Linked DNA regions of Nothobranchius furzeri. The protein of the gene in region 6 purifies or fractionates together with the protein of the main gene of each other region. This does not show direct contact. Links are inferred from orthologs where the notes say so. Each region holds a gene or a part of one and is shown on either strand. Other genes may lie near its edges.

Region 1 (3,985 bases), on a different chromosome or scaffold from region 6:
ATTTTGTTGATTTGTTTTATTTTAACCTGATCAGAGTAAACTTCAGATAATTCTCTGTATTTTTTGTAGAACAAACACTCAGGTATTTTCAGTATTTGTGTATTTTAATTAAAAAATGGACATAAGAAATAAAAATGTGTCCAGATATTAGTTTACAAGAGGACGATAATGTTTCCATAACATTTAGCTTTAGAATTTTATTTTTAGGCAAACAAAGTTATGAAAATCTACTGAAGATATCCAACATCCTAAAAATACAAAACAGGCAGAGCAGAACAACTGACCACCAATGCAATTTCTAACAGCAAATTATCACTGCATAAGGCCCTCTGGGGGAGGTGGCCTCATTGGCATGGGGGGCATGGGCATTTGTGGGGGCATTTGGGGGGGACCTGGTGCCCCGGGTGGCAGAGGAGGAACAGACATCCCTCCTGGTGGTGGAGGTGGAAGACCGTCGTTTGATGGGTGGCCACTCATAAGTGAAGCGGGGTGCTTTAAGTTGCCAGGAGGAGCTGGACCACCAGAAATGGCTTTCTCCATTTTAAAGTGGAACTGCAGGAAAAACTGAACGAAAACAAAACATTCATACATTAGAAAATTTTTTAAATTAGTTTTTTAGTAAAAACAAAGCAGAGTCAGTACCTGTTTAGTTTCCCTGTTCCAGTGAGTCCAGAAGCGGTTTTCTGCTTTATCAATTTCCCTGCTGGGGACCTTAAAGGAGCAAACATTTTAATGTTACGGAAATGTGACACATGAGCACAATGACAAAAATTACAGTTTTCATCCACCTTAAAGGAAATAGTTTCATATGGTTCAGCAGCAAACAGCAGGTACTGCCAGCGACGGTCAGGAGGCTCGATACGCTGCTCATAAGCAGACATGAAACGGTGCCTGGGTCCAATTCCTTCAGCAACCTCTGGATAGTCGATCTGATTAATATGGGAAATAAAAACAACTTGTCAGATGTTGTAACATCTGGTTATTATTGCCCTGATAGGAACTATAGGAGTTTGTTTTGTATCTGCAACGCATCTTCAAGTGGTGTCCACAATGGGGTCATACAATGGGAGCAAAACTGTTATATTGGGCTGGAAAATAATTAAAGTGGAGCTAAACATATGATGGCATTTAACTTTGGTTTCACACGAACAATAAAGCATAAAGCCTATTATCAAGTGTCTCAGATTCCCAGAAACACAGCAGGATTTTTCCAGAATTAAAATATATTTTTTATTTTCACCTGAAAAAGTAAAGACTGCTGACCAGTCTCTGGGTCCCTCTGTTTTGTCACTGTGAAAAAAAGAGAAAGACGAGGATCAAAAGTTGTTACAAAAAGCCAAATAATGTTGATCTAATATAGAACCATGCAGCCAGTGTACCTTTGTATCCTGGTCGACCGATTTTGACAAACTTCTTGACCTCAACTTTAACCTTTGCTGGAGCTGGTTGAGCCGGCGCTTCTTTTGCCTCTTTGGCTGCTCTTCGTGCTCTAAAACACCAAATAGAAAAGATTTAACTCAGAAAGAAAAAATTATACAGGAAAATGTTTACTGACAAATATTGAACTAGTAGCAATTAATTGTGTTAGAGAATGTTTTAGGTTGACTTACAAATTGGTCTGATGCTTCTTTCCCTGTGTGTGAGCCAAGTAGCTGCCCTAAAATCAAGTAGAGGGTTTTCTTTAGAAACACAATTCCCAAATATCAAAAATTCTAACATAGCCCAATCCAATCCGTTAAGTGCCTCCTCACCTCATTGTTGTGAAGTGTCAAACAAAGTTTGCATTCATAAGAACCTAAATGATTCTTCATAAAATAGGGGTCCTTGTTGATGTCGATGGTCTCTAGAGCCAGCTGACGTAACCGTTCACGCCTGTCCCGGTTACTCTCAGAGGCAGACGCCACCCCTCCACTTCCAGTCTTCCCTCCAGCTCGATGCTGGAAATCCATTTTTTTGAAGTGATGAACTCAGTCTAAAGACAACATAAACATATAGCATCAAAGGGACAGACCAAACATAATGTATCGTGTATTTCTTCAAATAAACACAAAACAAAAAACAGAAAAAGCCAGTTCAGTTAAAACTGAACCCCTGGTGTTTTATTTTTACCATCCCTATAAAACTGAGAAACATATGCTATTTCAAATGTAGAAAACATTCACAACTATAAGTACTGTACAAAGCAGTATGCACGTAGTAACACTATCATAAATATAAATTCAACAACTTTCATATAATTGCTGATAAAATGGTAACGCTATGTGTTACAGCAGCCAGAATGAATATCTGAGCGGCACAGTTCCTTAAATGTAGTATTAATAGTGAACATTAGTCAGGACTGTATATGTATGTATGCGTGTATGTGTTAAATCTATAACTCAAATCATAAAGACTTTCTTCCCGACACCCCTTTCATCAATTTATCAATTTGTCATGATTCTAGGTTGAAACGTCTTAATTTTTAATAACATAACTAGAAAATCCCTATATTGAACTATCCTTTCGCGCACATTTTACTGTTAGCATTTAGCATCGATGGACGTCGTTCTGACAATGCTAACAGTGCTACCATATATGCAAGGATAGTTTTAAACCTACCAAAATGAACAAACTATCAGAATGAAATTAAATATAGCCTAATCAATGTTTTAGCGTTACTGCTCAGCGAACTGCACAACAAAATACTAGCTAAATATTATAAATAAACTTACGTTCTCCCAAACAAATCTAACGACAAACTGTGATGGACAGAATTGTTTTGCGCATGCGTGTTGGTTCTCAGCTTAAGCAGTTCATAAATAGTTTCAAACATTCATTGCCATCTAGTGGTCAGGAGTAAAACTGACCGACGAACAAACGTTTGCGGATAAAAGCATATAATAAAGACCTAAGAGATTAGTTTATTTAGGAGTAAAGGGCTACATTTAAAATGTGAAAAATAAATTAAAAAAACGATATGAAACATTTGCATTTTTGTTTATTTATTTAATATGTTCTCTTTAATTTTGGATCAATTGTTTGTATTATTTCTTTTGCTATGGTTTTGTTTCCCAACTTTTATTGATTTTGTTGCTTTCACTTTTAGGGTCTGGATTTAAACTAATTGTAGATTTAGACAAGGTGTTGGACCGCATCTCTCGGGGGACCCTGTGGGGGTACTTTGGGAGTATGGGGTACCAGGCCCTCTGATAGGGGCTGTAAGGTCCCTATATGACTGGTGTCAGTGCTTGGTCCGCATTGCCAGCAGTAGGCCGGGTTCGTTTCCGGTGAGAGGTTGACTCTGCCAAGGCTGCCCTTTGTCACCAATTCTATTCATAACTTTTATGGAGAATTTCGAGGCACAGCCAAAGTGTTGAAGGCATTCATTTTGGTGGCCTAAGGATGGGGTCTCTGCTTTTTGCAGATGACATGGTCCTGATGGCTTCATCAGAACGTGATCTCCGTCTCTCACTGGAGCAGTTCACAAACGAATGTGAAGCAGCTGGGATGAGCATCAGCTCCTCTAAATCCGAGACTATGGTCCTGAGTCAGAAAAGGGTAGAATGCCTTCTCTGGGTCCAGGGATGAGATCCTGCCCCAAGTGGAGGAGTTTATACATCTCAGGGTCTTGTTCACGAGTGAGGGAAAGATGGCGAGTGAGATTTACAGGTGGGATGAGATCGTGTCTGCAGTAATGCGGACGTTGTACCGATCTGTCGTAGTGAAGAGAGAGCTGAGCCAGAAGGCGAAGCTCTCGATTTACCGGCCGATCTATGTTCCTACCCTCACCTTTAGTCATGAGCTTTGGGTAGTGACCAAAAGAACGAGATTGCAGATACAAGAAGCCAAAATTAGTTTTCTCTGCAGGGTTTCTGGGCTCTCACTTAGAGATAGGGTGAGAAGTTCAGTCATCCGGAGGGGCTCGGTGTAGAGGAGCCAGTTGAGGTGGCTCAGGCATCTGATTAGGATGCCTCCTAGATGCCTCCATGGTGAGGTTTTCTGAGCA
Region 2 (3,935 bases), on a different chromosome or scaffold from region 6:
GACCGGATTAACGCGGCTGACACGCCGACATGCAAAACAGCCACAGCGTGTTTCAGACTCACCACTGGGTCTTTGACGTTGTCAATCAGGCGGATGATGTTGGTTCCACCTCGCAGGTTTTCAAGAATTTTTATTTCCCGTTTGATCTTCTTCTTCTTGACGGGCTGAGGATGAAAGGAGGTACAAAGATCCACTCAAAAAAGCTACATACAAGGAAAAATAAAGTCTAAGCACTTTGTCCGTGACCTCAGAACATGAAAATGGATTACTCAGACAATTGTGTAAGACAAATAAACCTACATACATGACATTTGTTACAGGATGGACTGCTGGGAAGTCAAGACATCTCACCTTGAGGATTTTCACCACAACTTTCTCATTGTTTGTTACATTTATGGCCTCAAATACTTCACTGTACTTCCCTCTGCCCAGTTTGCGCACCAGCTGGTAGTTGTCTTGGTTGCTGAAAAGAGAAAAATATTTTAAGTGTGAATAAAAAGCTGTTTGATTATGCTGATGGTAACTGTAGTAAGATATTCTGTACCTCCAGTTTGGCATGTGTGCGTCATAGTCCCAATACTCTCTGTTCTTCTGTGTGTTGACATCGGTGTACACCCGAGCCTTGCTGCTGGCCGGCGAGGATCCGGGCATCGCGAGCTTCGACGCTCCGTGTCGGGAAACTCCCCCTTCCTCAGAATACTTGTTGTCGCGATACTGGAAGGCAGCGCAGCGGCTGTACTGAGTTTGAGGCTCTAAGATCCCTGTGTTGTGTTTACCATTGGCATTGGCTGCTTGTGCTCTCTGGTGAAAAGCACTGACCTGGTCCACAGGGGTGGCTGTGCAGACCGACAAAGCTACAATTATTGACTGAGTGAAGCCCCTGAGACGGATGTTAGACAGGATGGGATGAAGAACCGCCAGCTGTTGGGAAAAAAAGAAAAGAGCAGAAAAACCTGGAAGTTATTTTTTTATTACCGACTTGGCTGTTATCTGCATATAACTGGTATAAAAATGGTCTAAAAACAACAAAAGTATCAAGTGTGCAGCTGCATGCAAATGTGCAAAGTTAGTAAAAATAAATAATCATTAAACAATTAGACAAAATAAGTTACAACTTTGGACTTTTCATTTGCCTTTAGAACAAATTATTGCAGATCAATTCTCAAGAAATTTTTAGAAAAATATTTCTAAAATTTAACAATTTTACATTTAAAATGATCTGTGAAAGCTGTGAATCAACTGCAGCTTATTCAGAATGCTGCTGCTAGAGCCTTAACAAGAACCAAGAGAAGCGAAACACATCACTCCTGTTCCTTAATCTCTTCACTGGTTACCAGTAAACTACAGAATCAATTTCAAAGTGATTCTATTAGTTTAAAAATCACTCAATGGCATGGGGTCAGAATGCATGTCGGACCTCCTTCAGGTACATAAACCCAGCAGGGCTCTGAGATCCTTAGTAAACAGGCAGCTGGTAAAACCCTGGGTCAGAACCAAACAGGGTGACGCTGCTTTTAGCTACAATGCTGCACACAGAATAAATCAGCTTGCTTATGACCTCAAATGTGCCCCAACTCAACTCATGTAACTTTTAAATGAAAATGGAAAACTTTCATGTTTTCATCAGCCTTTGAATGGCTGTTTATATAACACTGCACATTCTGCACTGTAACTGCTTTCTTCTTTCATTTTTAAATCTAAATTGAATTTGTGTGTATTATAATTGTGATGTCGTATTGATTTTAATGTTCTTGTTATTCTTGTTAGTTGGCAAGCACATTGAACCGCCTCTGTGTGTGAAATGTACCAAATAAATAAAACTGCCTTGCCCTGTTCTCTGAAAATCCCTAAAGACTTTGGTTGTGTAGATATGGGCTCAAAAATCCACATTTTTTTCAACTACTATGTACAATAAAATATATAAAAGATGTTTTATTTGATCAGATCGTGTTTCACTTGTTTTGTGATGTTGATCTTTACCTGATCCGTTTCCTATAATTCAACGTTTCTTTCGTAGCCGTTTTAAGTCTATCATAATTTTTTCCGACATATTAAAACTTCCCGTCACCATGTATGTCTTAGCAGTCGTTTGAGCTTATTCACACCTTTCTTAAATCGGTGTATACTTCTCTAAAGTAACGTGTAGCTCTGGAAGTCTGATATATTTGCTGTCTACAGATTCCTCTCCTCTAGGCCCGTTCATGCTCCATCACCGCTATGTTCTGGTTCTGAAGAGCTTCTCCTCTCAAATACACATTTAATTCCCTCAAACGGCTATGAAGGATGTGAACAACGGGCTACTCCACAAGCTAACTAGATGGACCAGTTGTAACTGTCAGGAAGATTAGGTAACATCCTCTGTTAGAAATTCAACTGATGCTAACTAAGCTAACGAGTAACGATTACCTGTTTAGTTTATACAACTTTAAAATACAAACTCTGCCTCAAAAATGTGGAATCACAAAGACATTTACCGTCTGAATTCACATCTTCTTGCATACGAAACACGAATTAACCGCAATAATTATCAGCGTCGTCATTTCGGAGGCTAAAGTTAGCCGGCTAACCTCGTCGTCGGAAGCTGGAGCGCAGAAAACGTCATCAATGGTCGTTGGCTCGCGGGTTAACTTTGATGTCCGCGCGGTGATGTAAGCCCAGCAGGTCCGAGGTGATTGATAATGTGTCTGATTGATTGACTCTGACTGATGGGTGGCGGTGGTGGTGGAGGCACATCCAGCAGTTCTGCGGTAAACATCACCCGGAAGTTAACCGAGACGGAGCTCCTCCATCAGCCAGAAATGTGTGTGTGTGTGTGTGTGTGTGTGTGGGGGGGGGGGGGGGGGGGGGGGGGGGACCAGAAAATAAAATTAATACACGAAATGAATCACCGCACCTGACTAGTGCTCTTCAGTCTGTTTGCACTTACTTTTAAGTTACGGGACATTTAAATATTTTCTTCATAAAGACTGCAATAAATGTCACAATGAAAATGTTTTTATACAATTAATATTCCTAAAATTATTTAAAATACGGGAATCTCGTAACATTATTCAAAAGTTTCATTATTCTATAATTATTTGGTTTTTTCACCATTTTTGTTTCATGGTTTAAAATCTACCATCAAGACTTTTTGGGAGTTTCTGAGTTTTTGAGAACCAGTTGTGTCTGTTTTCTGTGAGGGACAGACTGAGACATTACTCACTATGCCCAGTGATGTGCATACGACGTTATTTAACTTTATATTGTCTCACCGGCTGTTTTTCCTGCATATCAGCTGAAAAACGTTCAAAATAGCTACGTGTTTGTTTCAAAGTAGACAATGTTATCATAAACGAATTTACTATTAAAAGATGATTTCAAGAAGACTAAACGCCAAATCAATATTTGAGGAGACAAGATGGGCACAGAATTTTCCAGTATGTCAACGAATGTATGAATTAAACCATCAAACAATTTTAAAATAATTTTGGAAGTGTGGAGAGCTGGATCGTGTACGACCATCAGAAAAAAGTAAAGTAAAATAAATGTTATAGTTTGAATGTGTAGAAGCTGAATAGTAAAAATAAACTATGCTAAATAGATAAAACAAAATGTTGACTTTATCGTATATCTGCAATTAAACATACATTTGAATTATTTTACTTGCCATTACTAGTATCTTCATTATATTTGGAGTTCTAGAGTTTAACATTTTAGCTATGTCAAAACAAATAATATGTTATGTTACATTAAATTTATATTGGCAAGGTGGATTATCTAATAAATCTAATTTCTACAAATATGGGATTCCAGAGACAATAATGTGATATTTTAACTAAGTCTCCTGCTTTAAATTTGTTTTTATTCATATTTGTTGTGGCCAATAAAAAACAATCAACTTTACTGTTCATCAGCCGAACTGGTTAGATCATGAGCTGGAAAATAATTTTTACATG
Region 3 (4,248 bases), on a different chromosome or scaffold from region 6:
ACCGAGCAGCTGTTGAAGGTTAGCACCCAAACGTGAGCACCCAAACATATGAATGTTTTAGTCATGTTCACAACATTGTACAATGTTTTGTTAGGCGGTGCGGCACAAGTCTAATTTACTGGATTACAAACTAAACTTGGAAAATTAATTTGCATTTGTGTGTTTTTTATGAACCAATGTCAAAACCAGAACCATTCATCACTCTGCACAGGTGTTGCTTGCTCGGGGATGCAGCTGAATACCTGATCGTACATGAGCTGCCGATGGAGTAAATCATACATGAGCTGATGGAGTAAGTTGGAGGAGTCGGGTTGTGATGATGAAGTGGTGAACCAGGAGGCCTCAGCCTCTTTCAGGGTCTGGTTAAACGCTCCAGCTCAGCGGGCCTGTGTGACCTGCGCACCGCGCCGCTGGTATGTGGGCTACCTGTCTGAGCCCCACAAAGGGGCAACACCGGAGTCTTTCTGTTTTTACTTTTAGGCACTCAGTGAGTATTATGGTCTGTCACCAGAGGACTTCACTTCAGCTCCCCTAGAGACCATCAGACTGTTTTTTTTTTTTTTACCTTTTTGTCTATTTAGGTGTTGCATATTATGGGATGTATGCTGCCACTGCTGGAGTATTATGGTCTGTCATGGAGAGCGGGAGGGGGGTGTCACCATGACAACGGGGTTGCTAAGGGGGGGGGGTGGGACTACTAGTGGAAAGGGGAAGGAGTGTGCATGCTATGAGTCTAGTGCACGCATGTCTAGCACCTAGCACTGGCAGTGTACGCGTGTGCGCGCGAATGGTGAAGGGGGGTGGGGGCAGGCTGAGTATTATGGTCTGTCCGTTGCGAGGTAACTATGCAGAGTCCTGTGCGAGTGTGGGAGGGGGGTGGATTATTATGGGATGCCTGTCCCCTTTGTGTGTTTGTGAGGATGTTAGCTAAGCGCTGCCTGTTAAGGTAGGGGGGAAGGAGAAGTGGGGGACGGAGCCGCGTGTTTCGGGTCATTAAGACAAGAACTGCTTGTTACTGCTAACACCACACAGGGATTAATGAATGGACACCAAAGGCCGACAACAGGAGCGGGAACAGTTTAATTTGTGTTGATTCTCGCACCGAGGGAGAACTCACCTCACGCCGGGACTACACGCGCAGTACAGTAAGTTTCCAGTGTGTGACGGTGGAAATTTCAAAGCTTAAACTTTTCTCTAGTGACAAGACGGCTCGCGTTTGCGGTTCCTTTTGAGGCTGTCGTTGAAAGCCACACTTTACTCCCGTGTGGGGCTCTCTACCTGTAAATCAGCTAATGTTAATGTCAAAGCGGGTAAAATCTTTTTAATTTAACTTGCTTGAGAGGACAGGTGGATAATTGGACGGCATGTAAATAACAAACAAGGAAGTTTCGTGCCTGTGCAATGTATTGTTATTTTTATTTATTTTTTTCTCTTGCACCCAGACCCCCCCCCCCCCCGCCTCCTCTCCCTTCCTGGACACCCCCGGTCCATTATCCACCAGTCCCACGTCATTTTCCCTCCTCCCTCGCTGACCGAGGAGCAAGGTTTACGGAGGATTTATTCGGACACCAAGAATTCAAATAGAAACGCTGGGAACATGTCTTGCAGCGAGGATGAGAGGGAGGACTTTGGAGCCGATGACGAGCACTCACTTCTTCACGGTAAGCTCGCCTGCTTTCCTCCCCTCCTGAAGAAGGTCCATCTCTGTGTAACTTGAGCTCGCCTTCAACGCGATGCTAGCGTTAGCCCAAGCTAGCGAGGAGTAGTCGGCTCGGGTCACTCGCCATGATAGATTAGTTAGCTAACTTGGACAGCAGAGTGTTCGGAGTTTTGTTTTTATTTTTTAATTTGTTTTCGTGTAACCCAGCCCACCAGCGTGTCCTCGCCACGGTGGGCGTGAACTGTCAAAGTTTCAACTACAAGTTTCAACCTGCTGTTGTGGCATTTACGCTGTGTATGTGTGCGCGCGTGCTCGGACATTTGCCAGTCGTGCCACGGCGCGCGCGCGGTCTCCTTGTTTTTGTTTTTTTTCTTCCCTCCCCTCTGGTCTGCAGCAGCGGTGCTTTCTGTCCGTCTGTACTCTGCCGGTAACCGTGTCTCTTTACAGACGAGGACGAGCCGGAGGATGCTGTCTCTGACGCAGAAGAGGCACCCAAGTCAAAGAAGAAGAAGAAAGCCAAAAAGAGCAACCGGGAGAGCAGGAGCAGCAAGAGGCAGAGACCCATCCGGGAGGCGAGTTTACCGCTCTGATAAAGTTTTATACATCCAAATAAGCTCTTTTATAAGTTTAGGCCAAAGGTCAAGGTACTGTAGAAGGCATTTAGTCTGTTAAAACTCTATATTTAATACAAAAATAACAAAAATATGTTAAGCTATACAAAGTTATGATGGTGAGCCCCCCCCCCTACACATTCTGCTGTGTTTTATTTTTTGTCACACTTAAATGTTGTAAATAACATTTCAGTGTCAGACAAACGGTCTAATGTCTCAATCATGCTTGAAGGAAGGTTACATTGACACAGATTTTCTAATCAGGCAGCTGGGGGCTGTTAGTTTTTCTCCATTTGACATGGACAAAGAGGGAATTAGTCTTTTTTTTAAATGTGTGAGCCCAGAGCCGGCACAAGGTGACTGCTTGGGGTCCCCAAACAGCACCCAGATGACTTGAAATAATGTTTTAATAACTTTAAATAATACAAATGTGACAGTGTGTGTCCTGTCACAGTGTCCTGATTGATCATGCGCCCTGGCTACTTGGCCAGTGGGATGTCCCTTTGGCTGACTGGTTAGAGCGTATGACTCTCACCCGGGAGTCTGAGGATCGAATCCCGCCTGGGCCCTCGTTTCTCCACCGTGCCACACAAAGTAAATAATGCTAATCCCAGAAAAATAATTAAATATTACTTTCTGTTAACTCATTCACTGCCAGTGACGGCAAAAGACGTCATTTGCATGTTTTTACTGTGTGGGCGTCGGAACGAGCCCCCGCACCGTGAGAACAAACATCTCAGCTCTAAAGCCGATCTTTATCCGCATACGTCACACGTCACATGATCAGGAAGCAGCAAATCCATGTGGTAGGAGATCGTTTTGGGCCGCTGCTGTAAAAAAAAGTGAGGCGCGAACCGGAAAAGCTTCTGCCGATCACAAGTCAACAACGGATTATGAAAGAACGGATAACGCTCAAAACGCGCGGATTCTTCCTGATGTAAGAGGTGAGTTGGTAGTTTTGGCGTCGACATCACCCTAGGGCGCAACATTCTCTGACTCTTTAAAAAAAACTGTAAAAACGGTGAGAAACGCTGGCAGCAAAGGAGTTAAGGATGCACGTTTTCCAAAATGTCTTTAACCGGCTATTGGTGCCCCTTAACAGTTGATAGCCGGTTTATCAGAAACCCTAACTTTAACCAATATATTTGAAATATGTTTATTAATATACCACATTTAAACAACACTGCATTGGGAAATGCTAAAGTAAGCATTTTTGTTGATTCATTACTCCTGTAAAGTTAAAATTAATAGCCATCAAAACACTGATGTGATGTGATCTGTCAGTTTGCCCCAGGACAGCTGTGGCTACATCGTAGCTCATCCCCACCAGCGTGTGTATGGGTGAATGAATGACTGTGTTGTGAAGTGCCTTGGGGGGTTGTAGAGCCCTAAGAAGGCGCTTCGCAAATACAAGCCATTTTTTAAAAATCGTAAGCTGCTTACAAATTATGCTAATGATAGGATGGTACACACATAGTGTGGCCTAGGAATGATGAATCATCTGCTGTTGACTTGTTGGTATGAAGGCCTCCAAGGAAATCCTGCTCAGGGCCCCACAAAGGCTTGGGCAGGTCCTGTGTGAGCCCACGGGGAAGCAGAGTCTGTACTGGCATTTGTTATTCAACACTGGCCGGCAAAAACTCCAGAGTTTGTGATGGGATATTAGCCAGTAAACAGGAGCAACCCAGAAGTTATTTGTTGTACTGCTGAAGCCCGGACTACACTGCATTTTTTGGCCTTCCTAGACAAATCCCTCATTGTGAAGAGAATTGTAACAAAAAATGGTCAGTGTGAGGGTGATTTGCAAGTCTGTGGCCGTCCAGTGTAACCGGCTCTGCAACAGCTTAATGAGCATTCTTACAAAGTCAGCTTGCAGCAGTTTTCAAGCTTTGCTTCAACCTCATCTGTGCCCCAGACAAGCTAGTTCCCAAAGTCAGAGACTCTCTTGGTCAGCTTGCTTCTCACACCAAACCTTCT
Region 4 (3,500 bases), about 24 Mb from region 6:
ACAGATTAGAACAACCTCAACTCAAAAATCACATTTTCACATTATAAATTCTACAAATTTCATTTTATTTAACAATTCTTGACAAAACTACTGTACTTGTCTTCTAGGTGAGACCAGCAAATGATGAGTTCTGTCTTTTCCCCATGGGCGATTTTCATCCGGTAATAAGAAAGCCCCAAAGATCAGCAGTAACCTAAACAAGTGTGCTTTGTTTTCCTATTTAACTCAATAAGACCGGTAACCATAAGAGTCCAATGTGTTTTTGTTTTCATGCCTCTAAAGTCATCAGACAGAATAACAGTTTAAAACTTGTTTATTTGTTTTCAGGAGAAGTTTTAGGATGTTTTTCTTTCATAAAGTAAAATGATGACAGAGCAGCCTCTCTGTAGACGTTTTTAGCTTTTATTTTCTTTAACATAGAAAATACTCCTACCACAGTTCATCTGGTGATTTTTTTAAGTGTGCTTTGTTTTCTCAGTCGTGGCAGACAACTGCTTGATCCAGGATCTGTTGGAGGTTTATCCCTGTTAAAAGGGCATTTTCCTCTCCACTGTCGCCACATGCTTGCTTAGTATAAGGATTGCTGTAAAGTCACTGACACTAGTCAGCGACTCGATGCAATTTGCTGGGTTCCTTAGAAAACCTTTAACTAACTGGAATAATGAACTAAACTGTTTAATCAGCGGGTTCAACTGGAATGCTTGAGACCACTTGTGATGCGAACTGGTGATATAAAAATAAAGCTGATGATTTTCAGCCCCCTATAGGTGTTACTGCCATCACAGTTCTGCAGACTTTACCAGCTGAGTTGAACTCTAATTAAAGCTGAATGGTAAATTTGGAAAACAAATTAGCTTTAAACAGTTTTTCATGCCTCTTAAACAAGTCACCCCCAAATCAACTTTTTGGCAAACCCTGCGTGCACACCCCACCCCCCATACATTCTAGCGAACTGAAACCCCCCCCCCCCCCCCAATAGAAAAACCTTCATATCATCATGAGACAACACCAATGTAATGTCTCTGTAAACAAAAGATGTCCAAAAGCCTTGTATCCATTTCAGCCGTTTAAAGTGTCTTTCTGGAGTTTCCCCGTTCAGAAATTATGTATGACTTTCCGTGCCGACCAGAACTGACCAATAGTGTTAAACTACCGCTTACGTGCTTGAAATTTAAGAAATACCTTGGCTGATGCACAGTTGATGAACTTTTCACGGACAAGAAAGTCTCTTAAGTATAAATATAGGAGAACAACATGACATGAGAATAATTCTTGTAAAACATCGTGTTTTAGCTCTGATTGTCAGCAACAGAAGGACATAAATAAACAAGAAACGTGAAGTCGCCATTTTAATAAAACGGAAGGAGAAATTATTTGTGTGATATGCTTGTCAGCCACTAGATGGTGCCATCGGATAAGGGAAATACTCCAGAAAGAGACTTTAAAGAAATACTCACCTGAACATTTCTTGATGCTTAACGAGGAACAAACTTTACAGAAACCGATTACATAGTCTAGGTTCTGTCACCAGAACATTCCTCAGAATGAGGCCAACAGCGAACCCACCAAGCAGCCACGGACTCTGGTTCTGTTTACCTTTCTTGGAGAAAAACTCTCGGCTGTACTTCCCGGCAGCAACCACTTTGCGTGGGACCTTCCCAAGGAGCTCCGTGATCAGAGCGATGTGGTCTGCCCACCAGTCACATACATCACAATGGGAACAGGCACATTACAGCATGCACACACATCTACACACACACATACACTGGCTGCACGGGGCTGACACACAGATGGCTTGAGGCTCAGCCTGGACACTCTCGCAGACTTGGGGGGTGAATTTGTTCCATTTTTCTTAAAGTTTAATCCAGTTTATCCATTGGGACCAAACGTAAACAGTCTGCTCATTTCCATTATTGTCCCTCTAAGACATCTTTGTGTTTCAGCCCCACCAGCTCTACGGCCAGCGCTACCTCTTCTGTTGAAGAACTCCCGGGAATATTTTCCAGAGAGTGCAAAGTGCCTCGGAATACAGCCCAGCAGCTCTATGATGTGGGCTATGTGGTCTATGGAGGAGATGGGGTGGAAGGAGGCCAAAACAGAGAAGGTAAGGAAGGGGGATGAAAGGCAGACAGAGCCAAAAATAAAAATAAGAGAGTGGAATCAAAGAAAAAAAAAGGACACAAAATAAGACCATAAAAAGGAATAAGGGTGAAACACCGGTAACAAAGAAGAAAGAGGGATAGCGAGTGACAGGAATAAAAGAGAAATCATTATGATGAGGTTAAGGGGGATGAGAAAAGAGAGAAAAGAGAAACCATCACAGATCTTAAAGAAGAAAATCCTGTTAATAAGCTGTGCCTCCACAGGAGAAGTAAGGAAAGGAAAAAAAAAGTGAAACAAATACATCAAAGACAACTCGGCTTGCAATAGATCAAAGATGTTTCCTGTAAATTGGGATGTCTGAAAAACCGACGCTGACTTGATGCAAAAAATCCTGGAGAAGGGAGCTAACTGTGGCTCATGAAGCTAGAAAAACAACACAATGAGCTGAGCCAGATCAAATGATAATAATAATAATAAAAAAATTTAAGCGCCTTTCAGGACACCCAAGGTCACTTTACAGGAAAAATACATTCAGTAAATTACATTAAAACAACATTAAAACACAATGAAGAAAAGAACATAGAAAAAACTAAATTCAAATAAAATCAGAGGTCATAGGCAGATTTGAACAGGTGTGTCTTGAGTCTGGATTAGAAGAGGGTGAAACTGTCAATATTTCTGATGTCTAGGGGGAGTGAGTTCCAGAGACGGGGAGCAGAGCGGCTGAAAGCTCTGCTCCCCGTGGTAGTGAGACGGGCAGAAAGAACAGCAAGATGGAGGGAGGAAGACGATCTGAGGGAACCGGAGAGGGTGGTAATACGTTTAAGGTCTGAAATATATGGAGGAGAATGTTTAAGATGGACCTGAATTTAACTGGAAGCCAGTAAAGCTGCTGGAGAACCGGGGTGATGTGGTGAAAGGAAGGGGTTCTTGTGATAATACGGGCTGCTGAGTTCTGGACCAGTTGAAGTTTATGAAGGAGTTGTAGGGGAGACCAAAAAGAAACGAATTGCAGTAATCGAGGTGGAAGACTGTGGACACGAATGGCGGCGGTGTGAGGGGTAAGGGAGGGGCAGAGACGGTTTATGGATCAAATATGGAAATAGGCTGACCGAGTTATGTTATTGATGTGAGCATGAAAAGAAAGTGAGCTTTCGAGAATGACACCCATACTCTTAACCTGAGGGGATGGGGTGACTGTGGCGCTGTCAATGGTTAAAGAAAAGCTGTCCGATTTGGAGACGGTGGATTTGGTACAGACAAGAAGAAGTTCAGTTTTATTTCCACCGAGTTTGAGGAAATTAGACGTGAACCAAGATTTGATTTCTGAGAGGCAGAGGGTAAGGGAGGAGGGTGGGAGAGTGGAGTTAAGTTTACTGGAAATGTGGGTGTCATCC
Region 5 (4,228 bases), on a different chromosome or scaffold from region 6:
TTGAAGAAAGGATGTGAAAGCATTGCATTGATGTAAAGATCAGTGGCCACGTTGGTACCACCAACTGTCCCGTTGATGCCTTCTGCTGCTACCCTTACCTACAGAAGATGATTGACATTTTAACTACTTAAATGTTTCTTTAAAATCCTCTATTTTCTGATATGATGTGCTAGAGTCTAGCTGAAAGGGTTTTCTTACCTTGCCGGTTAGGTGAAGTGACTCACACAGAGCTTCCTGCCATGCACAGACAGCATGTGGATCGTCCACTTCACAGTAACAATAATAGAGCAGAACCTTCCCAGGACCACTTCATAAAAACAAGAAATAAACAATCTGCATATGTTGAAATCTGATCAAATCTATAAAGGGGATGGATATAGATATGTATATACTCCATTCTGTTTACTTTTTTAGTTCACCCTCAGGGATGTGGCTGATATCTGGTATCCACATTGAAATGTCCACTGCCTCCGTCTTTTTCCCTTTCAGCTGCTGTGTTTCTGTGTCTTTTTCCAGCTGGCTTAGCAAATGTTCATATGTGGCCTGCGTGAGCTGCTGTATACTAGAATTGTGAGTTTTGGCCACATGTTGGTGAATCTCAGCATGTTCGACGAAGGTCAGGCTACAGCAGCACCAAGATGTGCTTCCTTTTCCTGCACACTCCTTCTTCGATGCTACGAAGGCAGCAAATGACTGTGAAAAGGAAGAAGCACGAATGGCATTTAGTTTAAGTAAATGTGTGCAAAATTCTAAGTTTAATGTGGGATGAAGTTTGTCGCTGCAGGTTATTTTGTTTTTATTTTGATACCTAACATTTGTCAGACATGTAAACAGATAAAATAAATGCTGCATTTACAACTATTTAAATAAACCAGTATTTACATAATATAAGTTCAACTTTATTTATTGAGCGCTTTCACATGCCCAGGAGGACAAACAAAGCGCTGTACACCAATACAAAAACAGCATTCAAATCAGAAATACACAAAAAAGTATACATTATTATTATAACTTAGCTCATCATAAAGCCAACAAACGGTCATTGTTTTTTCCCCACCTTTCTTCTGCAGAAACTGTAGTATCTTCTTTGTGAGGCAGAAAGTTGTCTCTCCTGTTTTAATCCATTACTTGTCGAAAAATCAACATCCAAATTCATGAAGCAGCCGGTTTCAATCGCTTCCATCCTAACGAAGCTGTTAAACACTGCCAGTTAGTCGATTTTTTGTCTAAATTAAATACATTTTAAGACAGTGATCGTGCCTTGCTGTCCTAACATTTATTTGCTGCCATCTTACCAAACATAAACTCTCAAACACGGTGAGGAAAAAAAGGTCACAAACGTGTTTCCGACAATGTCGGACGAAATAGGAGGACGGACTTTTCATTTGACCTCGTGCTGCCCCGGAAGTTCTCCACTTGAATCATACCGCTGTTATTTTTCTGCGGTGGTTTCTGCGTTGCACAGGCTAAATTAACTAAGTATCAGCTAGTTCGTCCGACTTGCTGCTTCGTTTCATATCGGTTTTTTCTTTTGGTTGTCTTGTGTGGATTTTAAAGTGGCCTAATATGTCCCGGAGACGACACAGCGACGAGAATGACGGTAAATCGGCGGAGATTCAGTCACACTTTAGGCTAATAGGCTAACATTAGCGTGTTTTCCTTTCCTTCACCCATGTTGGTTATTTGTTTTGCTAATACACGTGGAGTTTTTGGATAGCTTCCATCAAAATTAAAAAGAGCAAACTCGTTATCAGCTGACATTTGTGCAAAACTAAACAGCGAAGCTGAATGAACAGCGTAAGACAACCGCCAATAACCTATGCTGTTACTGTTAGCTGATTGATGGCTAACTAAACTGATATGGAGGCGGTACCAATGAGTAAAAGATACACAACCTGATAATTGGATCATTTCTGGTAAGTTGTTAAAAGTGTAAAACTGAGTCGGAAATTAATCCTGACACGTCATGTGGTGAGCTAAACTGCTAACAAGCATCATTCTAGAGAAAATATTTGATTTCCAGTGTCTGTCCTATTGATTTTGTTAAAGCAGTGCGTATTCCATTTTTAAACGTTTCTCCCTTTTGCTTGTACAGAAATGTGTTCACAGTTGAACCCATGTATAATATGCAGATGCTGGTAATGGAAAACAAAACATGGAATGAGAAAAATCTTAAATAGTCATGTAACTGCCTAAAAGTATGTGTGAGCTTCAAGTGAATGTTTCAGAAACCTTCCATTGTTGTCAGTTTTATTTAAAGTCCCATTAGTCATCATCGCACACTGGTGAAATTACATCTCTGCATTTGACACATCCTTGTGGGCAGCAGCGAACTGCAGCGATGGCTGCACTTGGGAACTATTTGGTGGTTTAGTCCCCCAATGCAGTCCCTTAAAGCTGAGTGCAGGGAGATATTGGGTCCCATTTTTAAAGTCTTTGGTATGACCCAACCAGATTTGAACCCTGATTTCCTAGTCGCAGGGTGGAGACCCATACCACTAGGCCACTGAGAAGGTTTGTCAAGCAGATAATGTCTCATTGTCAGTATGTCCTCAACAGGTCAAAATAGCAAGGATTAAAAGCCTTGAACTTCACTCTGGAACAGAATAATTGCTAAAGTATTGACATTCTCCTTTTATAATGCTGCTAACAGATTAATTATCTAAAAAGGGGCTCATGTGTTGATGTGAGTTAGGAGAAGAAACTTTCTCATACTCCGTAAACTGTGTTAAAGGAATCAACTTTGATGTGTTGCTCATTCTTTTGCGCAAGTCTTTACGCCTTATCAAGACACTCACACACACACACTTGGCCTGTCATCTTCAATAGATAATACTGTTTTGAACATTAGGATTAGATGTTCTTGTCTACTGAACTAGAGTGAGTCTGAACTCGGACACTTGTCTGCCCCCTGATGCCATGCAAGGACACTGGGTTATGGTGTGGCGATGTCTGTGTCTGGTGACCTTAACAGAGGAATACCTTTATTGGGTTACAATGATGAAGTTGCTAAAAGGCACTGCTTCGATTAAAAAGTGTAAGCTTTTAAACATCAGCTTAATTTCTGTTAATCTAGGTGTTTCTTAGCACAACACAACCTTTATCAAATAAATATGCAAGTGTTTACATGTATTACTCATTTACGCAGATTCTGTTGGTGTTTTCTGTGGTGTCGGTCAGAGTTTATGAACATGTGTTGATTGTGTGACTCTTTTACCCACCAGGAGGTCAAGCTCACAAGAGGAGGAGAACTTCTGAACCTATTGAGATTGAAGATCGTCTGGAATCCCTGATATGTCGTGTTGGGGAGAAAGTAAGAGCAGACAGACAGAGAGATGCTCTGAAATCTCCATCACTTGACTCTGTTGTATTTTGTTATTAACAGAGTACATCATCCCTCGAGAGCAACTTGGAGGGCCTTGCGGGCGTCTTAGAGGCAGATCTTCCAAACTACAAAAACAAAATTCTGCGTATTTTATGTTCTGTGTATGTTTGTATAGGTTATTGCTTTCTGATTAATAAAGAGGCATTCAGAAGGCAGACTTTACTAAAGCACTGTGTGTCAACAGCGCCCGCCTGCTACCTGAGAAGCTTACCGTCTACACAACCTTGGTCGGCCTTCTCAACGCCAGGAACTACAACTTTGGAGGCGAGTTTGTGGAGGCCATGATCAGACAGCTGAAGGAGACCCTGAAAAACAACTTGTACAATGAAGCTGTTTACCTGGTAAAGCTGATTTTCACACAATAAATCTTCACAAAAGGGAGTTTAAAATTCATCATGATGGGTTAATTTTTGGTTTTCAGGTGCGTTTTCTGTCTGACTTGGTCAACTGTCACGTGATTGCTGCTCCTTCTATGGTGGCCATGTTTGAAAACTTTGTGAGTGTTACTCAGGAGGAGGATGTCCCACAGGTAATCAACAGTTTCTGATCAATATGCCTGCTTCTGAGTACTTAAAGATTGTTATAATTGCTTGTACATATTTTATATGAGAACAGTCCTTTGTCTAACGTTTTTATCTTATCTGTTTTTCTTTGGTGTAAAGCTAATTATGTGTCTGTTGCTAATGCCTCTTGCCAGACCCTTGTTGTAAATGAGAATGAGTTCTCAATTGACTCATCTGGTTAAATAAAGATTCAGTAAATAAATAAAGGTAAACGTGAACTTGGGTTATGTCATTCTGATTCAGTTATTTGGGAAACAGATTTGTTCAGAATTGTTAACAG
Region 6 (3,500 bases):
GGCAGTAAAGGAGGGAAACAGCGCTGCCGCACGTAAGCTTGGCATGAATGAATCCGTGGTTTGGCGCTGGAGACGGCAGCGGGAAGAACTCATTCAAGCCAGCTTCACCCGGGGATGATGACAGCAACACAGAAAAGGTATGTGACGAAGCTCTTCTGAGGCTGTTCCACTCCGACACTGAAGAAGAGGACTTTAATGGCTTTAGTGCGCAGGAGGAAGATGAGAGCGAAAGACTTTTTCTGGTAGGCAAGTGTGTTTTATTTACTAACCAGGAATGTTTCGTGTGCAGTTTTTATTTTCTAATCATCCAGGGCTTATTAATGCTGTGTCAGCGCTGTTCTTTCCTTCTAAACATGCAAATGACCGGTAGTAACGTGTCAGTGCTGTTTTTATTTTATAACATCCAGAAATATGAATGCTATCAGTGCTGTTTTCTTTTATAAACTTGCAGGCACGTTCACCCGTGTTTAAAATTCGTTTTGTTGAATTAAAACAACAACGAAAAACCTCCATGTAGCGTCTTTCTGTCTAACTATCGTATGTTATGGCCGTACATGCGCTGTGTGCCGAAGACCTGCATGTGGCTGCTGCGCCACGGCTTGTATTCGAGTGCGGCGTGTGTGTGTGTGGAAAACATTTCTTTTTTTGGTTGGGGCGGCTTATATTGAGGTGCGCTCTATAGTCCGGAAATTACAGTAAAACAATTATAAAGTTTGACTGATCCAAAGTGTGAAATGTGAATTTTACAGTTTCAAGTAGGCATAGTTAACATTCCCTACAGACGCTGAAAATCACTGCATCAGAAGAAAAAAGCATTTGTTTAGTCGATTAAATTTAGTTTGGTCCTTCAGTAAAACAGATCACGAGTGAATAGCAGTTTAATTCACATGATCAGGCCCATTATATTGTGACGTTTGCAGATATTGTTGACTTCCTCATACCACCAAGGATTTTTTCACAGTGTGAAATAATAATAATAACAATTAGAGCTGGTGCTGGACAGACCAGAGGAAGGAGACGGTGAGTCGAACCACAAGCAGAAAAACCACCAAAGGGAAGACCTGACGCACGTGAAAAGTGACAAATAAAGAAAACACCTTCTTGCTGCTTGATAATAAAAACAGTTTCGTCACCTTTTTCTTGAAAGTTACATGTTGGATCACACAAGAATAAACTACATGGAGCTTTGATGCGTTATTTCTACGTGAAAATGAAAGCAACGCTTTGTTCAGCAGCCCGTGCTTTCCCCCTGGTTTAATTCTTTTACTTTATAGCACGTCTCCTTTACATTTTACAGACAGCTCACAGGGACCGGGTGAGAACCAACAGAACTGTAAACCTGGCAGTGAAGCTTAAAAGATAGACGGCTATTTAAAATCAAAGGCTTACTCGAATAAACAGACTTCTTGCAGTTTTCTGATTGGCTGGAATAACATTTTTTCTCTTTAGCTCAAAAGGCAAACCAAGTTTTGACCCCGCACTTTTAAAAAAGAGGGGGTGCAGTTGCTGCAGTGATCGGGTGTCTAGAATCTCACCTCTGTCTGGAGACATGGCCATTCTCTTGCTGAGAGGAGGGCTGGGCCGGTCTTTATCTGCAGGCAGGTACCGCTTCCTGTTGCCTCTGTCGCCCTGTTGCTGAGAAACGAGGAGCTGGGATAAGCGCCAGCATTCACTTGTATTTCTGATGGTAAATATAAACAGAGAAGCTGAAATCCTTATGATTTTAGCACAAACAGCTAACCTGCCTTTGACCTAGTACCTCCGCTCCAGCTCACCTGTTTAAAGGTTTGAATCGCCCGTTTGGTCCAAACAAAACGATCAGAGTGGAAAACAGACGAGCCGGTGGGCCTACGCTGGAGGAACCCTTACAGCGGGTTTGGGTCACAAGGAGCGGAAGTAAACTGGTGATTGTTGAACCAAAGCCACTGCTAGAAACACCGGAGGTACTTTAACTTATGCATCGTGATATTTTACTATAAAATCTGTCGTTTACTGTAAATATGGAGCATCTAAACGTTTAAAAAGCTTTAAAAAGAAAAGTCTTGATCCATTTAAATGTGTTGAAGATGTCTTAATAAGACATAATCAAAAGATCCACAAAGTGTTGCTAATTTTGACTCTTAAAGTATTTTTGCATTCATCTGGCAGCCTGCTCACATCTGCATTTGGCTTTAAATTCTCCATGATGTCATTAGGTCTAAAAACAAATAGCCTTGTTTATCTTCTCTAGTTTGTGCATTGGTGTAGGTTTGGTGGGGACTTATAAATCTAAAGGTTATAAAAAAAACGGTGGTTTACACTACAGTTAAAACAGTTTGTGCCAATAACGTTATTATGATGGACTCGTTTCTTTAGCAAACGTAACTTTAAGTGACTTACATGTTTCTTTGGAAAATAGCTCATGCCTCCATCCTCACTCGCTTTTGGCACTATGTGTCACGTCACATTGCAAACACAAGAGTCTTGATTTTGAATGTTTTCCTTCTAGCTTTGGCGCTGCTAACCGGCGTAGCTTGTCACGTGACAACATGCGCAGCCAATCACACCAGCCTTATGCGTTACGGAGGTAGGACTCGAGCAGAGAACGTCATTTAACCCTTTCTGCACCTCTAGGGTAACGAGACACTCGACATGCTTGTTTGTTTTAGCGGAGGCGGTCAAGAGATTGGTGGGGACTATTTAGTCATCACTGGATATTGGTAGGGACATCATGTCACTTCCGTCCATGCCAAATCTACGCCCATGAGTTTGTGCATCAGCCTCTGGGACTGTTCCTCTCTGAAGGTTACGTCTCGTTTCAGGGGCCATTTTTCTGTCTTCAGCGCAAAAATCTGACTGAAACGTTTACAAGTACAGCGTGGCAGTCACCTTGTTGAGGAGGGTGAGTTTGATGTCTTTGTGGGAACCTGAACCTCCGTAGCTTCCAGGAGGGCCCATGTTACCGGGTCGTGGGTGTACAGGGTTGCCTCCCCTGGTACCGGGGCCTGACCGGGGCACCGGGTTCCCTCCTCTGGGCGGGCCCCCAGATGGGTCAGGTTTCCTGCGATCGTCCCTGAAAGGCTCTTCTTTCTTTGATGGTCGTTCTGAGAGCACAGAAACATTTTAGTTCAAAACCTTAAATAATAAATACATTTTCTTCATGTTCTTGTGTTTTTAAGATATTTTTAAATGAATAAAAATTATCATTTTTTCCAAATAACCTCGTAATTTTTATTTTAAGAGGTGCTATACAAAAGATTGTTTCTTCTTTTCCAGGTTTGTCAGCATCTTACGGAGGTGAATTACACACGCAGGACCAGAACATTTGTGTTTAACACATTTTTATAATTCTTTTTCTTGAACATTTTTGTTCTAGAACCTCAGTTAAACTTTTACAGCTAAGTGGAAGCCGATGCTTCAGTCTGCGCCACACTAACCCCTGATCTTGTCCCGCGCCAGCGGGGACCGGTTTCGTGCAGAAACTCGCTCTCTGCGGGGGTGATTTGGCATGGGCGAGCGAG
Region 7 (4,293 bases), on a different chromosome or scaffold from region 6:
CGGGAAGAGAGGAGACTTGAGTAGAAGGACTTTAGTACAGACACGTTGGGACCGGATCGGGAGTTCTGGTTCTACGAAAAGATGGATGAACAACTTGAGGTGAGTTTGGGAGTCAGAGACACTAATCAGAGGCTGGCTTCCAGATAATGGCGGGCGGGGATCTTGTGTTGGACATGACGAGGAATGGACAAATTTGATGTCTTTTGATTTAGTTGTTTTTAATTCAAACTAACAAGTAGAGCAACGGTGTAGCTATTCTTTTCTATTTCTTAGTTGAATTAGCAGACTTCATGCTTCCAGGGCACACTGCTGCCCTCTGCTGGTTCTTTCAGGTTACAGTCATAGTCCAAACGGTAACGTGGAGCTCGTATGTCCCTAAACAGCTACTGTATTTTAAGATGGTGGATGACCATGGAGCCTCGACCACAGATTATGTATATAAAATGTATAACTATATAAGTTTGCAGTTTGTGAACTGCAAACACAGGATTTGATAGTAAACTGGTAAAAAATATCACACACTGGGCCTTTAAGCAAGTTCACATTATGAACCAAAATGACCGTAAACCTCACCTGTCCTCCAGATTTGCCACGCCCGTACTGCCTGCCCTCCTTGAAGCCTGCGTCCCAGTCTGTCCTGATGATCCGGTCATCCAGCCGGGTACCGTTAACGAAGCGCATGGCGTTCTCTGCGTCTCCTCGTGTGTAGTATCTGGTACAGGCGCAGCTAAGGTCCACACTCTGTTCATTTTCACATCAATGCTACCCTTTTAATACACGACCAGTCAAGACAGAAACACTGTTGACATTTAAACGGTTTGTTTTCTTGTGCATCAATTGGCTTTACTAGATCAGGTGACGATAGAGCAGCAGTACCTCAGGAGGTAGAGTGGGTTGTCTAGTAATTGGAAGGTTGTAGGTTTGATCCCGGCTCCAGCCAGAGAATGCTGCTGTTGTGTCCTTGGGCGAAACTTTTAATCTGCCTTGTCTGCTGGTGGTGGTCAGTAGGACCGGTTGTGCCAGTCTATGCACCCAGGGCAGCTGTGGCAACATTGTAGCTCATCATCACCAGCGTGTGAATGTGTGGGTGGGTGACTAATTGTGTTGTAAAGCACCTTGGGGGGCTGTAGAACCTTAAGAAGATGCTATACAGATACAGGCCATTTACCAATAGTTTAAAAGGATACTCAACAAAACAGAATCCGCAGGCAGTCTTCTTGATTTTATCCAGGCCGATGATGATACGCTTCACGTCTCCACATTTAGCAAACAACTCGTGCACCTGTTCATATTAGCAGTGATTCGAAATATGCCTTCAATCTAGTATAAACCAGCCACAACCGTCTAGTTTTTATAAGCCAACATTCATCAGATCTCAGTAGTAGCTACATCGATCTTGAACATCGGATTATTTAGCTGGTTATAACCACGTTTAGAAGTTCTGAAAGGTTTTCATGGAATAATGTAAGAAGTAAAGCAGTCCTCAGGAAGCCGAAGCTAGCTTTATTTAAAGGTCTTACCTGCTCTTCCGTTGTGTAAAAGGAGAGGTTCCCAACATACAGAGTGTTACTGTGCTTTAGCAGCTTCTCCTGTTCATAACGATTACCCTAAAAACAAACATGACATAAAACTACTCTTAGAGCAGGAGAAAAACACATTTACATACAAAAGTCGAATTCATTCACCTTCTCCCTTACCTTAAAGTGTTGATCTCTATATTGACTAATCTCAGTGTAAGAATCGCTGGTTAAAGCGTTTAGTTTAGAAGACATTTTGGATAAATGACTACTTAGGCAGAATGCTAACGACGCGAGTTTGGATGATGTACTTCCGGGTATTTTGTCCGTCCACTAAATACATCCGGGAGGAAACACGGAGGATCGCTAAATTAGATCATTTTGCGTTTGCTTACAATTTTTTTTTAAGTTTTCGCCTTCATCCGAGCTTTGTAGTTGTTTGTGTGTGTGTTTCTTCTTAGTGTATTAGTGGGAAAAACGCAGAATGCTTTCAAAACTGGAAGTGTTAATCATTTATCAAGAATCAAAAAAGCAGTGAATGGACATAATCTAAATCAAGTCAAATCAATATTTGGTGTGACCATCTTTTGCCTTTAGAACAGCATCAGTTCTAGGTGCACACACACATTTGTTGAAGGAACTGGGCTGGTTCTAAACATCTTGGAGAACTAACCACAGATCATCGGTGGATATGGACTTCTTCACATCCTTCTGTCTCTTCCTGTAATCCTAGACACACGATTGATGTTGAGATCAGGCTCTGTGGGACCAGACCATCACTTTCAGGATTTCTTGTATTTTGGTGCACTTGGACTGCACGTACCTTTTGACCCTAAGGTGGTAGAGAACAAGAGAACCAAGCTCCTGTGGGACTTCCAGACCCAGACTGACAAAATGGTGATGGTGAACCAACCGGACATTGTGGTGGTGGACAAACCACAGAGATCAGCCGTTGTGGTTGATGTGGCGATACCAAGTCATGCAAATCCGGGAAAAGGAGCACGAGAAACTAGAAAAGTACCAGGGCCTCAAAGAAGAACTTAAGCTGGAGAGTGAAGACATCGGTGGTGCCCATGGTCATCAGGGCAATAACCCCCAAACTGCAGGAGTGGCTAAAGCAGATCCAAGGAAAACAATCAGACCTCTCAGTCCAGAAAAGTGCAGTTCTAGGAACAGCTAATATACTGCAGAACCCTCAAGATCCCAAGCCTCTGGTAGAGGACCCAAGGTTGGAAGGATGAGACCACCCACGGAGGGTGAGATGGGGATTTTTATATCAGCATCAGAAGTGTTTTAATGCCATATATGTGCAAGAAATCTCATTAGCAAATTACTGATTTTATATATATATATATATATATATATTCTTTTTCTTCCAACATCAACACCTTCTGCAGTTTTTTTTAAATATTTTTATTTGTACATCTTAAATTCGATTTAAACATTTGCATCTTTATGCTTCTTTTTTTTTATAAACCACGTCCTGTCTGGCTGTAAAGCAATCAGAATTTATGTCTGAACGCTGAAGACGAACCTTACAGTTTTACTCTGTCGGCTAATTTTTGTTTTCGGGCGTTTTACTTGGACCTGAAAGGACGTTTAATTGCTTCTGTTTGAAATATAAATAAAACTGCCTTGTCTAAATGAGATGGTGTAATGGATTAACTTCTAACTAAACCTAATCATTCCTTCATAAACATATGTTTAGGAAAGCAAATACCCAAGGGTATTGAGTCAGTGTCGTCTTCCTCCGCTTATCCGGGTCCGGGTCGCGGGGGCAGCATCCCATCTAGGGAGCTCCAGACCGTCCTCTCCCCGGCCACCTCCACCAGCTCCTCCGGCAGGACCCCAAGGCGTTCCCGGACCAGATTGGAGATGTAACCTCTCCAACGTGTCCTGGGTCGACCCGGGGGCCTCCTGCTGGCAGGACATGCCCGAAACACCTCCCCAGGGAGGCGTCCAGGAGGCATCCTGACCAGATGCCCAAACCACCTCAACTGACTCCTTTCGATCCGGAGGAGCAGCGGTTCTACTCCGAGTCCCTCCCGAATCTCCGAGCTCCTCACCCTATCTCTAAGGCTGAGCCCGGCCACCCTACGGAGGAAACTCATTTCGGCCGCTTGTATCCGCGATCTCGTTCTTTCGGTCATTACCCAAAGCTCATGACCATAGGTGAGGATTGGGACGTAGATCGACCGGTAAATCGAGAGCCTGGCTTTCTGGCTCAGCTCCCTCTTCACCACGACAGATCGGCTCAGCGTCATCACTGCAGACGCCGAACCAATCCGCCTGTCGATCTCCCGATCCCTCCTACCCTCACTCGTGAACAAGACCCCGAGATACTTAAACTCCTCCACTTGAGGTAGGACCTCTCCCCCGACCCGGAGTTGGCAAGCCACCCTTTTCCGGTCGAGAACCATGGTCTCAGATTTGGAGGTGCTGATCCTCATCCCAGCCGCTTCACACTCAGCCGTGAACCTACCCAGCAAGAGCTGAAGGTCAGAGCTGGATGAAGCTAGGACAGTCAGTGAGTCAGTGTACTTTTCTATATAATTACGAAGATGTGGTGCCATTGGCTACTGTCTGGATCCCTCCCATTGTTTTCCTTTTACATTTTAACTTGTGACAACAGACCTGCGCAAAAGTAACCGCACAAACTTACAAGGGAACCACAAGGTCAACATTTTATTTTTCTAACTCAAACTCGTAAACAAAACATCACCTATAACAACATGGCCTCCAGCATGCCTCTTGTTTCATTATAAAAATCACTTGT

Evidence for each region.
Region 1: the proteins of zc3h18 (region 6) and sf3a2 purify together in Homo sapiens (affinity purification with mass spectrometry; 3 studies listed by BioGRID and IntAct, with this or other methods). This does not show direct contact. The link is inferred for Nothobranchius furzeri from reciprocal best matches to the Homo sapiens genes ZC3H18 and SF3A2.
Region 2: the proteins of zc3h18 (region 6) and casein kinase II subunit alpha' purify together in Homo sapiens (affinity purification with mass spectrometry; 3 studies listed by BioGRID and IntAct, with this or other methods). This does not show direct contact. The link is inferred for Nothobranchius furzeri from reciprocal best matches to the Homo sapiens genes ZC3H18 and CSNK2A2.
Region 3: the proteins of zc3h18 (region 6) and chd4b purify together in Homo sapiens (affinity purification with mass spectrometry; 3 studies listed by BioGRID). This does not show direct contact. The link is inferred for Nothobranchius furzeri from reciprocal best matches to the Homo sapiens genes ZC3H18 and CHD4.
Region 4: the proteins of zc3h18 (region 6) and srpk2 purify together in Homo sapiens (affinity purification with mass spectrometry; 3 studies listed by BioGRID and IntAct, with this or other methods). This does not show direct contact. The link is inferred for Nothobranchius furzeri from reciprocal best matches to the Homo sapiens genes ZC3H18 and SRPK2.
Region 5: the proteins of zc3h18 (region 6) and nuclear cap-binding protein subunit 1 purify together in Homo sapiens (co-immunoprecipitation; 3 studies listed by BioGRID and IntAct, with this or other methods). This does not show direct contact. The link is inferred for Nothobranchius furzeri from reciprocal best matches to the Homo sapiens genes ZC3H18 and NCBP1.
Region 7: the proteins of zc3h18 (region 6) and ncbp2 purify together in Homo sapiens (co-immunoprecipitation; 3 studies listed by BioGRID and IntAct, with this or other methods). This does not show direct contact. The link is inferred for Nothobranchius furzeri from reciprocal best matches to the Homo sapiens genes ZC3H18 and NCBP2.

Annotation. Positions count from the first base shown.
Region 1 is NC_091751.1:56,891,866-56,895,850, reverse strand, and holds sf3a2 (splicing factor 3A subunit 2), read right to left. Parts: upstream 2,801-3,985; 5' UTR 2,712-2,800; intron 1,973-2,711; 5' UTR 1,950-1,972; coding exon 1,752-1,949; intron 1,658-1,751; coding exon 1,611-1,657; intron 1,490-1,610; coding exon 1,380-1,489; intron 1,291-1,379; coding exon 1,241-1,290; intron 930-1,240; coding exon 789-929; intron 712-788; coding exon 643-711; intron 565-642; coding exon 313-564; 3' UTR 86-312; downstream 1-85. UniProt on the Homo sapiens protein: Component of the 17S U2 SnRNP complex of the spliceosome, a large ribonucleoprotein complex that removes introns from transcribed pre-mRNAs.
Region 2 is NC_091749.1:31,588,393-31,592,327, forward strand, and holds the start of casein kinase II subunit alpha', read right to left. Parts: upstream 2,801-3,935; 5' UTR 2,475-2,800; intron 922-2,474; 5' UTR 820-921; exon of another isoform or gene 715-819; 5' UTR 652-714; coding exon 545-651; intron 464-544; coding exon 352-463; intron 165-351; coding exon 63-164; intron 1-62.
Region 3 is NC_091745.1:74,032,285-74,036,532, reverse strand, and holds the start of chd4b (chromodomain-helicase-DNA-binding protein 4), read left to right. Parts: upstream 1-1,448; 5' UTR 1,449-1,597; coding exon 1,598-1,661; intron 1,662-2,107; coding exon 2,108-2,232; intron 2,233-4,248. UniProt on the Homo sapiens protein: ATP-dependent chromatin-remodeling factor that binds and distorts nucleosomal DNA. Acts as a component of the histone deacetylase NuRD complex which participates in the remodeling of chromatin.
Region 4 is NC_091744.1:58,271,275-58,274,774, forward strand, and holds part of srpk2 (SRSF protein kinase 2), read right to left. Parts: intron 2,064-3,500; coding exon 1,971-2,063; intron 1,690-1,970; coding exon 1,597-1,689; intron 1-1,596. UniProt on the Homo sapiens protein: Serine/arginine-rich protein-specific kinase which specifically phosphorylates its substrates at serine residues located in regions rich in arginine/serine dipeptides, known as RS domains and is involved in the phosphorylation of SR splicing factors and the regulation of splicing.
Region 5 is NC_091741.1:71,547,690-71,551,917, reverse strand, and holds the start of nuclear cap-binding protein subunit 1, read left to right. Parts: upstream 1-1,428; 5' UTR 1,429-1,566; coding exon 1,567-1,600; intron 1,601-3,224; coding exon 3,225-3,313; intron 3,314-3,385; coding exon 3,386-3,486; intron 3,487-3,569; coding exon 3,570-3,726; intron 3,727-3,806; coding exon 3,807-3,914; intron 3,915-4,228. Other genes in the region: thiosulfate sulfurtransferase/rhodanese-like domain-containing protein 2, read right to left, coding at 1-98, 199-307, 407-693, 1,058-1,183. UniProt on the Homo sapiens protein: Component of the cap-binding complex (CBC), which binds cotranscriptionally to the 5'-cap of pre-mRNAs and is involved in various processes such as pre-mRNA splicing, translation regulation, nonsense-mediated mRNA decay, RNA-mediated gene silencing (RNAi) by microRNAs (miRNAs) and mRNA export.
Region 6 is NC_091744.1:81,886,523-81,890,022, forward strand, and holds part of zc3h18 (zinc finger CCCH domain-containing protein 18), read right to left. Parts: coding exon 3,417-3,500; intron 3,084-3,416; coding exon 2,869-3,083; intron 1,636-2,868; coding exon 1,536-1,635; intron 1-1,535.
Region 7 is NC_091748.1:71,743,112-71,747,404, reverse strand, and holds the start of ncbp2 (nuclear cap-binding protein subunit 2), read right to left. Parts: upstream 2,801-4,293; 5' UTR 1,773-2,800; coding exon 1,698-1,772; intron 1,608-1,697; coding exon 1,521-1,607; intron 1,283-1,520; coding exon 1,188-1,282; intron 713-1,187; coding exon 574-712; intron 1-573. UniProt on the Homo sapiens protein: Component of the cap-binding complex (CBC), which binds co-transcriptionally to the 5' cap of pre-mRNAs and is involved in various processes such as pre-mRNA splicing, translation regulation, nonsense-mediated mRNA decay, RNA-mediated gene silencing (RNAi) by microRNAs (miRNAs) and mRNA export.